Danio rerio: one gene and its partner. The protein of the gene in region 1 purifies or fractionates together with the protein of each later gene. This does not show direct contact. Links are inferred from orthologs where the notes say so. Each region holds a gene or a part of one and is shown on either strand. Other genes may lie near its edges. The genes, in order: mkln1 and maea.

Region 1 (3,831 bases):
ATTTGTAATTTATTTTTATTTAGTTACATTTTTTATATGATTGTTTGAAAATAACTAAATATAAATCATTTCTTGACAGGTTATGTGAGATTTGACCTTCAATTTTTTGAAAAGTCCACATTCTGCAGTCTATAATGTGTTCATTTCAAAGATTTATGTACCGTTAAACAATTATTAGTCATACAGCATGAAAATTAAAGTATTAAATATTTAATTTCTTTCACACTAACAGAAAACTGCGTCATTGTCTGTGCACGTCATAATCATTAACAGTTTTTTAATGCGCCAACCTGTTCCAGTTAGGAAAACATTCATGTTTTTATAACCCTCATATCCCGTTTGCACAGGCAGTTTCACACAATGTTAAACATGAATTGAAGGCACATTACAACTAAAGTGTTTTCGTTTTTCCTCTTTCCTGAACAGTACCGTGAACAAGAGGCCATCCGCTTGTGCCTGAAACACTTCCGGCAGCACAACTACACAGAAGCCTTCGAATCCCTGCAGAAGAAAACACGGATCGCTCTGGAGCACCCCATGCTTACGCACCTACACGAGCGGCTGGTTCTCAGAGGAGACTTTGACGCCTGCGAGGAGCTGATAGATAAGGCCGTGAGAGGTACCTCACCCACGGTTTCATCATATGGATCTGCGCCATATTCATTAAGTAGGGAATGTGGGCATGTTGGTTCACTGTAGGGAACAGAATGGTTCTGGATTGTAATCGTGTTACGTGGTGAGCAAGTACATCCTTGTTGACGTTTAATGTCAAATATAGATGATCTCTGCACAGAAGGTCAGGTTCAGTCAATGTTAGAGCTGTATTTGTGATGTAAAGTGTTTAGATCATAGGTCTCAAACTCGATTCAGCTGCAGCTCTGCACAGTTTTCCTCCAACCCTAATCAAACACAGCTGACCCAACTAATCAAGGTGTTCAAGACTACTAGAGACTAGCAAGCAGGTGTGTGTTGGAGGCGGTTGGAGCTAAACTGCAGTGCTGTGGCCCTCCAGGAATTGAGTTTGAGACCACTGCTTTAGATGATGGCAGAAAAACTCAATTCATAGCATTGGGGAACAGCAGAATGTACTTTAAATATTAATGAAATAGTAGAGCAAGGGTTTGATTTCCAGTGATACCAAGATCCGAAAAAATGTGTGCCTTCAATGAAATGTAAGTCATATTTGTAACCTAAGTCATAATTGTAATTGTAAGTCATAATTGTAACCTGACTCACATTTGTACTTCCTCATACTCTCACTATATGAATAATAGTGACCTTTTTTACTGTTTTCAAAAACTCCCACTTAAACTAATGTTGGTCTGTTGTTTTGACTAAAGGGGACCATTTAAAATAAGCACTCATGCATTTTCAATACAAGTAATATTTATTTTTAACCTTGTGAGTCATATAGAAACAAACAGTCACCAACAAAAACCACCAACATGCAGTTATTTAAAGGATTTCCCTCAAACCTGCAGACCTGTCGGTGGTTTCACACCAACACCACTGAGAATCGTAGTGTTGGTCATATGTCAGTATGCATCTCTTCACATTAGAGCTGGCTTCAGTTAAACTTACAGAATGCGTGTTCACAAAACCCCTTTATGGAGGCTTTTAAAAGATGTCTGGATGTTATTTGACCCATTATTTCAGACTTTTTCGTTTTAATCAAACATCCTATTTTGGCAAAATTGTTGTAAATGTGTAGTATTTCACCCTATGTAAATCTATTTTAATGCTAGGTATACAAAGTGGAAAAAACACGGGCTGTTTCTCAATTCCAAGAATGCAGAGAACGGACTTGCGCTCTTGTGAAGACCAGTCTTGCTAGGTTACCTCAAAAGAACGAACTGGGAAGACCACGAGAACACAAACCGCGTCCTGTGAGAAATAAGACGATGCGTTCTTCCTGATGGTCACATGACCTACAAGCATTTTTAACAGAAACTTATTTAAATATTACAGCATATATACAAGGATTTTTTGTTTTCCCTCTTTTCAATAAGTATAACATGCACGAAACCCTAACAAATATACATTGCACAATACAAATACATCAGTTTTTAATATGAACTTTAGCAAATAAACACCCTTAATGTGGTTGTCTTTATTAAGATTTTCATGGTTATGTTTACTTTCACCATCTTATTTAGTGAAACTCCTGAGATAAATTAGTTTTATCTCTAAATTCTAATAATAAATCTATATAAAATGCTGCGCTTTCCCACCTCTCGTCGCAATGACTTCTGGGACTTCTAGAATGAGTTCGGTGCTCAAGTTTGCATCGGTGCATCCTCGATACCAAAGAAGCATCCTGGAACTTTCATGCGTCCTTCGTTCTTGTAGTTGTGAGTTTTGGAACTGACCTTTAATGGTGGATGATGACATTACATGAGGACACAAGATTGCTGAAGAACGCATATTGAGAAACCGCACAATAGTTCCTCTGAGGAAGTTCATGACAAAAAAAAATGTCCCAGTTGAAATCCATTAAAATGGAAGTATTACATCTCGGTGTCAAACAAAGAGTCATACACTCTTTACTAACAGTTCTCTAATTTGTTGGTATTAGATTAAGCTTTTTTAAATGCAGAATTTATCATATTTAGCTATATTTCTTCAGGTTTTGCCTGTGCAATAAATTTTGCATGTTGGCTGCATTTGAATATTGCAGGCCAAGTGAATTAATATTACGTAATTGTAATTATGTGGGTGTGTTGGTATGGATGAGTTTTTGCTTCATGTTTTTGACATTATGTAAACAAACTAATTTGAAGGGCTGAAATTCATAAAAGATGAGTTTTTGGTAGTTATACAATCATAAAATCAATATCAGAAAAAGTGTAAAATATAATTTTCTTATTTGTTAGACAGTTTTGCACTCTATGGACCAATGTGTAACGTTTGTTCGTTGGTTGGTTGGTTCGTTTTCTTTTCGGCTTAGTCCCTTTATCTATCAGGGGTCTCCACAGCGGAATGAACTGCCAACTTATACAGCAAATGTTTTACGCAGCGGACTTAAGGTCATATTTTGACTTATTTACAAATTATTCATGTTATTAACCTTATTCTACAATGCAGAAGTGCTTTCCTTTTTACAGTTGTTTCAGAACTTCTGATTCAGTCGCCTATGGGAATAATAAATAAAATGGTCAAAATACTTGCTCTACAATCAAATGTTTTCATGACTATACATAAAAAGTGGAATAATATAATAAGAAAACATCAGTGTTTCTAAATCAAACAGCATAACAAGTTGTTTTAAAAGTCTCAAAATCAATGAAAGCGAATAAGAGCGGAAGTCTGGAGCAAAGATTCCAATGGCTGCCGTACGCTCATACGTTAAGAATACGGTCAATAGGACTTTGGAATAAGTGTCGTCAATACTGTTATAAATCTTGTTTTAATAATATGTGAGCTGAGAAAAGTTTTTACACACTTCATGTTTAAAGTTGTTCTCAGTAGATCATATTTATACACACTCTCTTGAGTGGTCACAGTGTAAATTTGCGGTAATTAGAACCTAATGTACACTCGGATTGTTTTCCGCTCAGGGAGCATGCATTAGCAAATTAACGTGCACACTTGACTCTTTATCTGCTCTCTTCCAGATGGTTTGTTTAATCAGTACATCAGCCAGCAGGATTATAAGCCACGCTGGAGTCAGATCATCCCCAAATGTAACAAAGGTACGACAGCAGTCCGCTGTGGCACTGAATCTGGACACTGGACTCCAGGAAGTCTGCTGCTGTATTAATGACTTACCGACTTCTTCCTGACACGCACCACTTCTTATTGTTTTTTTTGTTTTTAACTTTCTGATTAGGC
Region 2 (4,388 bases), on another chromosome or scaffold:
CATACTTAAGTTGCGATCACACTGCACTTTTCTCCCTATAGACATCCATTCATACGCACAAGAATGCGTCACATTGAAAACGCAGATTGCTGCGTTGAAAAGATCAAACTTGGAGTACAAAATCGCATCACATAATTGCGTGAGATCGAAAATCCAAAAATGACCTCTTCGGACAGGAATTTAAAACATGGACCTATCACTTGTTTTTTTTTTTTTAATGTATAATCATCTTGTTTAATCCCGCCCCTCTTGCAGCGACATATAACAGGATTTCACATGCTCAAACTCTAGTGTGACTGTTACCTGTAGATTTCAAACAAGCCTGAAGGACTCGGTTAGTTTGATCATGTGTGTTTAATAGACCCTTTTCACACTTCTGGCTTTCTCAGTAGTGGAAGGCATCATGGTTGGGTAAACTTAGAGCGCAGTGAATGGGAGAGTACAACAAAAACATCTTTTACAATCCTATTTGCTGAAATATAAAAAACTCCATGGTGGTGTTATCACGACTTTCAGAAATAGGGGGAAAAAATTGTGTGAGACTGATGATGGCAGCCAGAGGAGACAATAACATCAAATTTACTCTAAGCCCTACAGACGCTACAAACACCTCGCTTTAGAGGTAATTGGTTTTAATGTAATTTGACGCAAAGTTGATCTAATACATTCATAAATGCATATAAATGTTTACGTGTTTTTTAAAAATCTAAATATTAAAAACTTTCAGGGATTTAAGTTTATGATGACTGCTAAACGTGTTAAACAATGACCCTTAAGTTAAATGTCTTTTAAAAGGAGTCCATTAGGGTTGGAACTAGTTCAGTAAAGTTAGCAACGAATCTGTGAATCTGTTGCTACCTTTGCTGAACTGTTGGAACTTAACGTTAACTGTGCAGAATAGAGGTAAAGTTGGTTTTATATTCGCATATTCGTTCATTTAGAAGTCTCTTTCTTGTTTACCATGTTACTTTGAATATTCGATCGGAATTAGCATGCAAGTATGACTTCTAAACAACATTAACACTATGTAATTCACTGTGAACAATGTTGTACTTTAACGATCATTTACTGCTAATATGATTTCGCTATTTACAATTTTCAAATAATATTTTTCTGGAATTATATTATTCAGGAGAATGTCTGAATATCCGAATATAAAACCAACTTTACCTCTATCTGTGCAGCTGAGGCGATCCACAAACTGATTTTGACAGCTGTGCCTTAAATAATGGGTACATTTTTATTTTTGGCTGAATTATCTTTTTGATCCTAAAAACACAAGCATTCACCGCCACACTAGGAGGCGGTAACAAACAGTTCTAACCTCGCTGCCGCGGCGAAGACCAAATCCGGGAAGAAGACGAACAAACGCTCCACAGTTTCCCCAAAGCAAGATGGCGGTGCAAGAGACAGCAGCTCAACTCTCTATGGCCCTAAAGGTGCAAGAATACCCAACTTTAAAGGTCTGTCAAGCGTTTCCTCTCCATAATCTAATCACGCAACTAAACAGATTCCGTGTGCGTTGTTTGACCTCAATAACAGGGCATCAAACTGAGATTATCCATCAAATTAAAACTGTGTCTGCATTTAGACAGTTAACTGGTTAGCTCTGGGGCTAGATAACTTAGCAAAACAAGTCCCACACAAACCGATCTAACCGGAGTGATCGCAAATATTCCAGCAGTGACATCGCATGTTCAGTTATAAATTGCGTCGACAGCTGTGTTAAAGGGGTAAATGAGTCGATTAATGTCAGTCTGGCCCATGTCATTCTTGCGTTCCGACAGTGTTGTGTTAATAGACGCTGTTTTATCCCATCACAGGTTTGTCCACTAGTGTAACCAGCGAGCAATGCAGTTCAAGGCAGATTGACGATAATCATTAGCGAGGTTGGATAGTGAGTGACACGAATAATATCGGATGTACTGATGCTTCATAATCGACTGCTGTTCAGTCTCATGTGTGCGTTTGATTGCTATTTGGCGGCTGTCATCTAAAGCTATGATTTTCCGTGGCTTTAGATGAATGCTGGAGGGATATACACATGCCAATGGTGACCAGAGATCGGTATGCATGCGATTTATGCACCATATTAGGATCACATTGTATCATGTTGTGTTGGTCGTTTGCGGGCTTAACAACCAGGTGTAGATTGTCGATGAGGAGCTTATTATTTACGGTAATGGGTGGGATACAGCACCTTTGTTCTCTGCGTCAGAGGTTTTTTTCACGATTGATAGCGTCGTTATGGATGAATCCTCACGTTAACCGGTTCTTTTGACTGATTGATGATGCATTGAGTGCTTTGTGACGTGATTAGTTCATGGATCTCATGTAATTTGACGCCTGTTTATGTAAACGCACACTGAATGTCAATAATATATGGTCTTCACTGCTGTGTCAAGGGCATGTTGCATCTAAGCTTGTCTTGCAGCATTGGGAATGATTTCCAGTACATTCTTGATCATTGCATCATGATCTAACCATATATACCAGTCGCTATTTTGGTGCAGAACCAGAAGCCACATTGGTTGAGGAAGTGTAATGAAAATATGTGGAACAGCTCTTTCATAAAAGAGACTGGTTGGTGTAATGTTTTAGAGGTAGATGAATCATTACAATTGATATTTGTTCATATTTACAAATTATATAATGGTGTACAATCGAAAAGGAATACATTCCTTTTATGACATTTAATTTTTACTAGTGTATGTCACAAATGAATGGTGGTTGCTGCCTAATAATGAAATAAACAGATGTCTTAAAGAGTTCACCTAAAAACGAACTACCTATGAATATGTATAACCCTGATATCATTTCCTCTTCTTTAAAAAAAGTAATTGGCAGTGAATAGCAACCAGCATTACAGGGCTAGTTTACTCAAAAATTACATTTTGTTATTAAATTCTCACCCTTATGTCATTTACAATTTCCTTTATTTTGTCTCCAGAACACAGTTTAAGATTTTTAGAGGATATCTGAGAGCTCCCTCATCCTCCATAGATGGCAACATTCACATTCTGACTGAAGTTAGATGGAATGTTTCGAAAATGTTTTGGTTCCTTTTTTTTGAACTTTGAATGTCTCAGGTCTGTTGCAGTCTGTAGAAAGAGCTCTCAGATTTCATTATAAATGTCTTGTGGCCTGCCCTGAGCCATATGGTATAGGGTTGTCATGATACTGGAATTCGGTACCAATCGATACTGAAATTTTAAAAACATCAATTTCCTGCAAACATTTGTGCACTGTTGAGCACATTCTTAAACACTGCTGATTTGCCATTGTATTCACTAACTCAACAGAAAAAACTGTGATTATTACACTAAGTAAACAGCAATGAATTTGGTGAACTAATGACCTTCACGGCCAATCACAGTCGTTTCTTTTGAGCATGTGAACACAATGGCGAATCAGCGCTGTGCTCAACAGCGCTCAAATGTTTGCGGGAAATGGACTTTTTTTTTTTATTTCTGTACAAATTGGTACCAAATTCTAGAATCGTGACAATCCTATGGTATGGTGTGGTAGAGTATCGTACTTTTTTTTTGGCCCATTTCACTGTCTAAGGAACCAAAAAAGCAGACCGTACCACTTTTTGGGTAAAGAGCAATTCCAGCGTTATGAATGTGACATTTGTAGTAAAAATTCAAAGCAAAAACTCACAGAGAAAGAATATGTTAACATTATATTGAAACATTAGTTTATATTTCCTAGAACAACTAACCACAAAGTCAAGTCATCCGAAAATATTAATCTTTAAACATTTTTAATATTTTAAATGAGAGAAGTAAACATGCGTTATGTACGTGACCAAAAAGTATCCAAGTTTATAGTATACAACATACTTGGTAAAAATTCTATGAATTAAAGTGCACAACCCAAAATAAAGAATGCTAATCAAAAGGATAACTATAGAACAGCTCACTATAGCTTACTATTGTTAGCTCACTATAGAACAAACAAGATTGGTTTTATTTTATTTGACATTTCCATTAATGAGGAAAAAACTTCGTTATGGATGTTACATTTCTCTGTTATGGATGTGACAGATGTGAAATTGCCACTTGTGTGACTTTGGTAAACCAAATCTAATGGTTTGAAAACATTGACAGAGGCATTTTTGAGTATTTATAAAGTGCTGTAAAATACTTGCTTACACAAAAAAACCTAGAAACAGTTTCGCTACTTTGTTGAAAACTTTGTTGGAAATTTTTTTTTTTTTCATAGCAAAGTTGACATTTGCATGGGATTGCTCTACAACAAAATGGTACAAAAAGGGGTGGAGCTAGACGTACAGCTTAAAGAGCCCATATTATACATGAAATAGGGTCATATCCTGGTTGTAAGGGTCTCCAACAACAGTCTAATATGCATGCAAGGTCAAAAAA

The links.
Region 2: the proteins of mkln1 (region 1) and maea purify together in Homo sapiens (affinity purification with western blotting; 3 studies listed by BioGRID and IntAct, with this or other methods). This does not show direct contact. The link is inferred for Danio rerio from reciprocal best matches to the Homo sapiens genes MKLN1 and MAEA.

The regions. Positions count from the first base shown.
Region 1 is NC_133179.1:12,276,573-12,280,403, forward strand, and holds part of mkln1 (muskelin), read left to right. Parts: intron 1-426; coding exon 427-619; intron 620-3,614; coding exon 3,615-3,692; intron 3,693-3,829; coding exon 3,830-3,831. UniProt on the Homo sapiens protein: Component of the CTLH E3 ubiquitin-protein ligase complex that selectively accepts ubiquitin from UBE2H and mediates ubiquitination and subsequent proteasomal degradation of the transcription factor HBP1.
Region 2 is NC_133189.1:25,445,240-25,449,627, reverse strand, and holds the start of maea (E3 ubiquitin-protein transferase MAEA), read left to right. Parts: upstream 1-1,312; 5' UTR 1,313-1,394; coding exon 1,395-1,463; exon of another isoform or gene 1,464-2,025; coding exon of another isoform or gene 2,026-2,067; intron 2,068-4,388.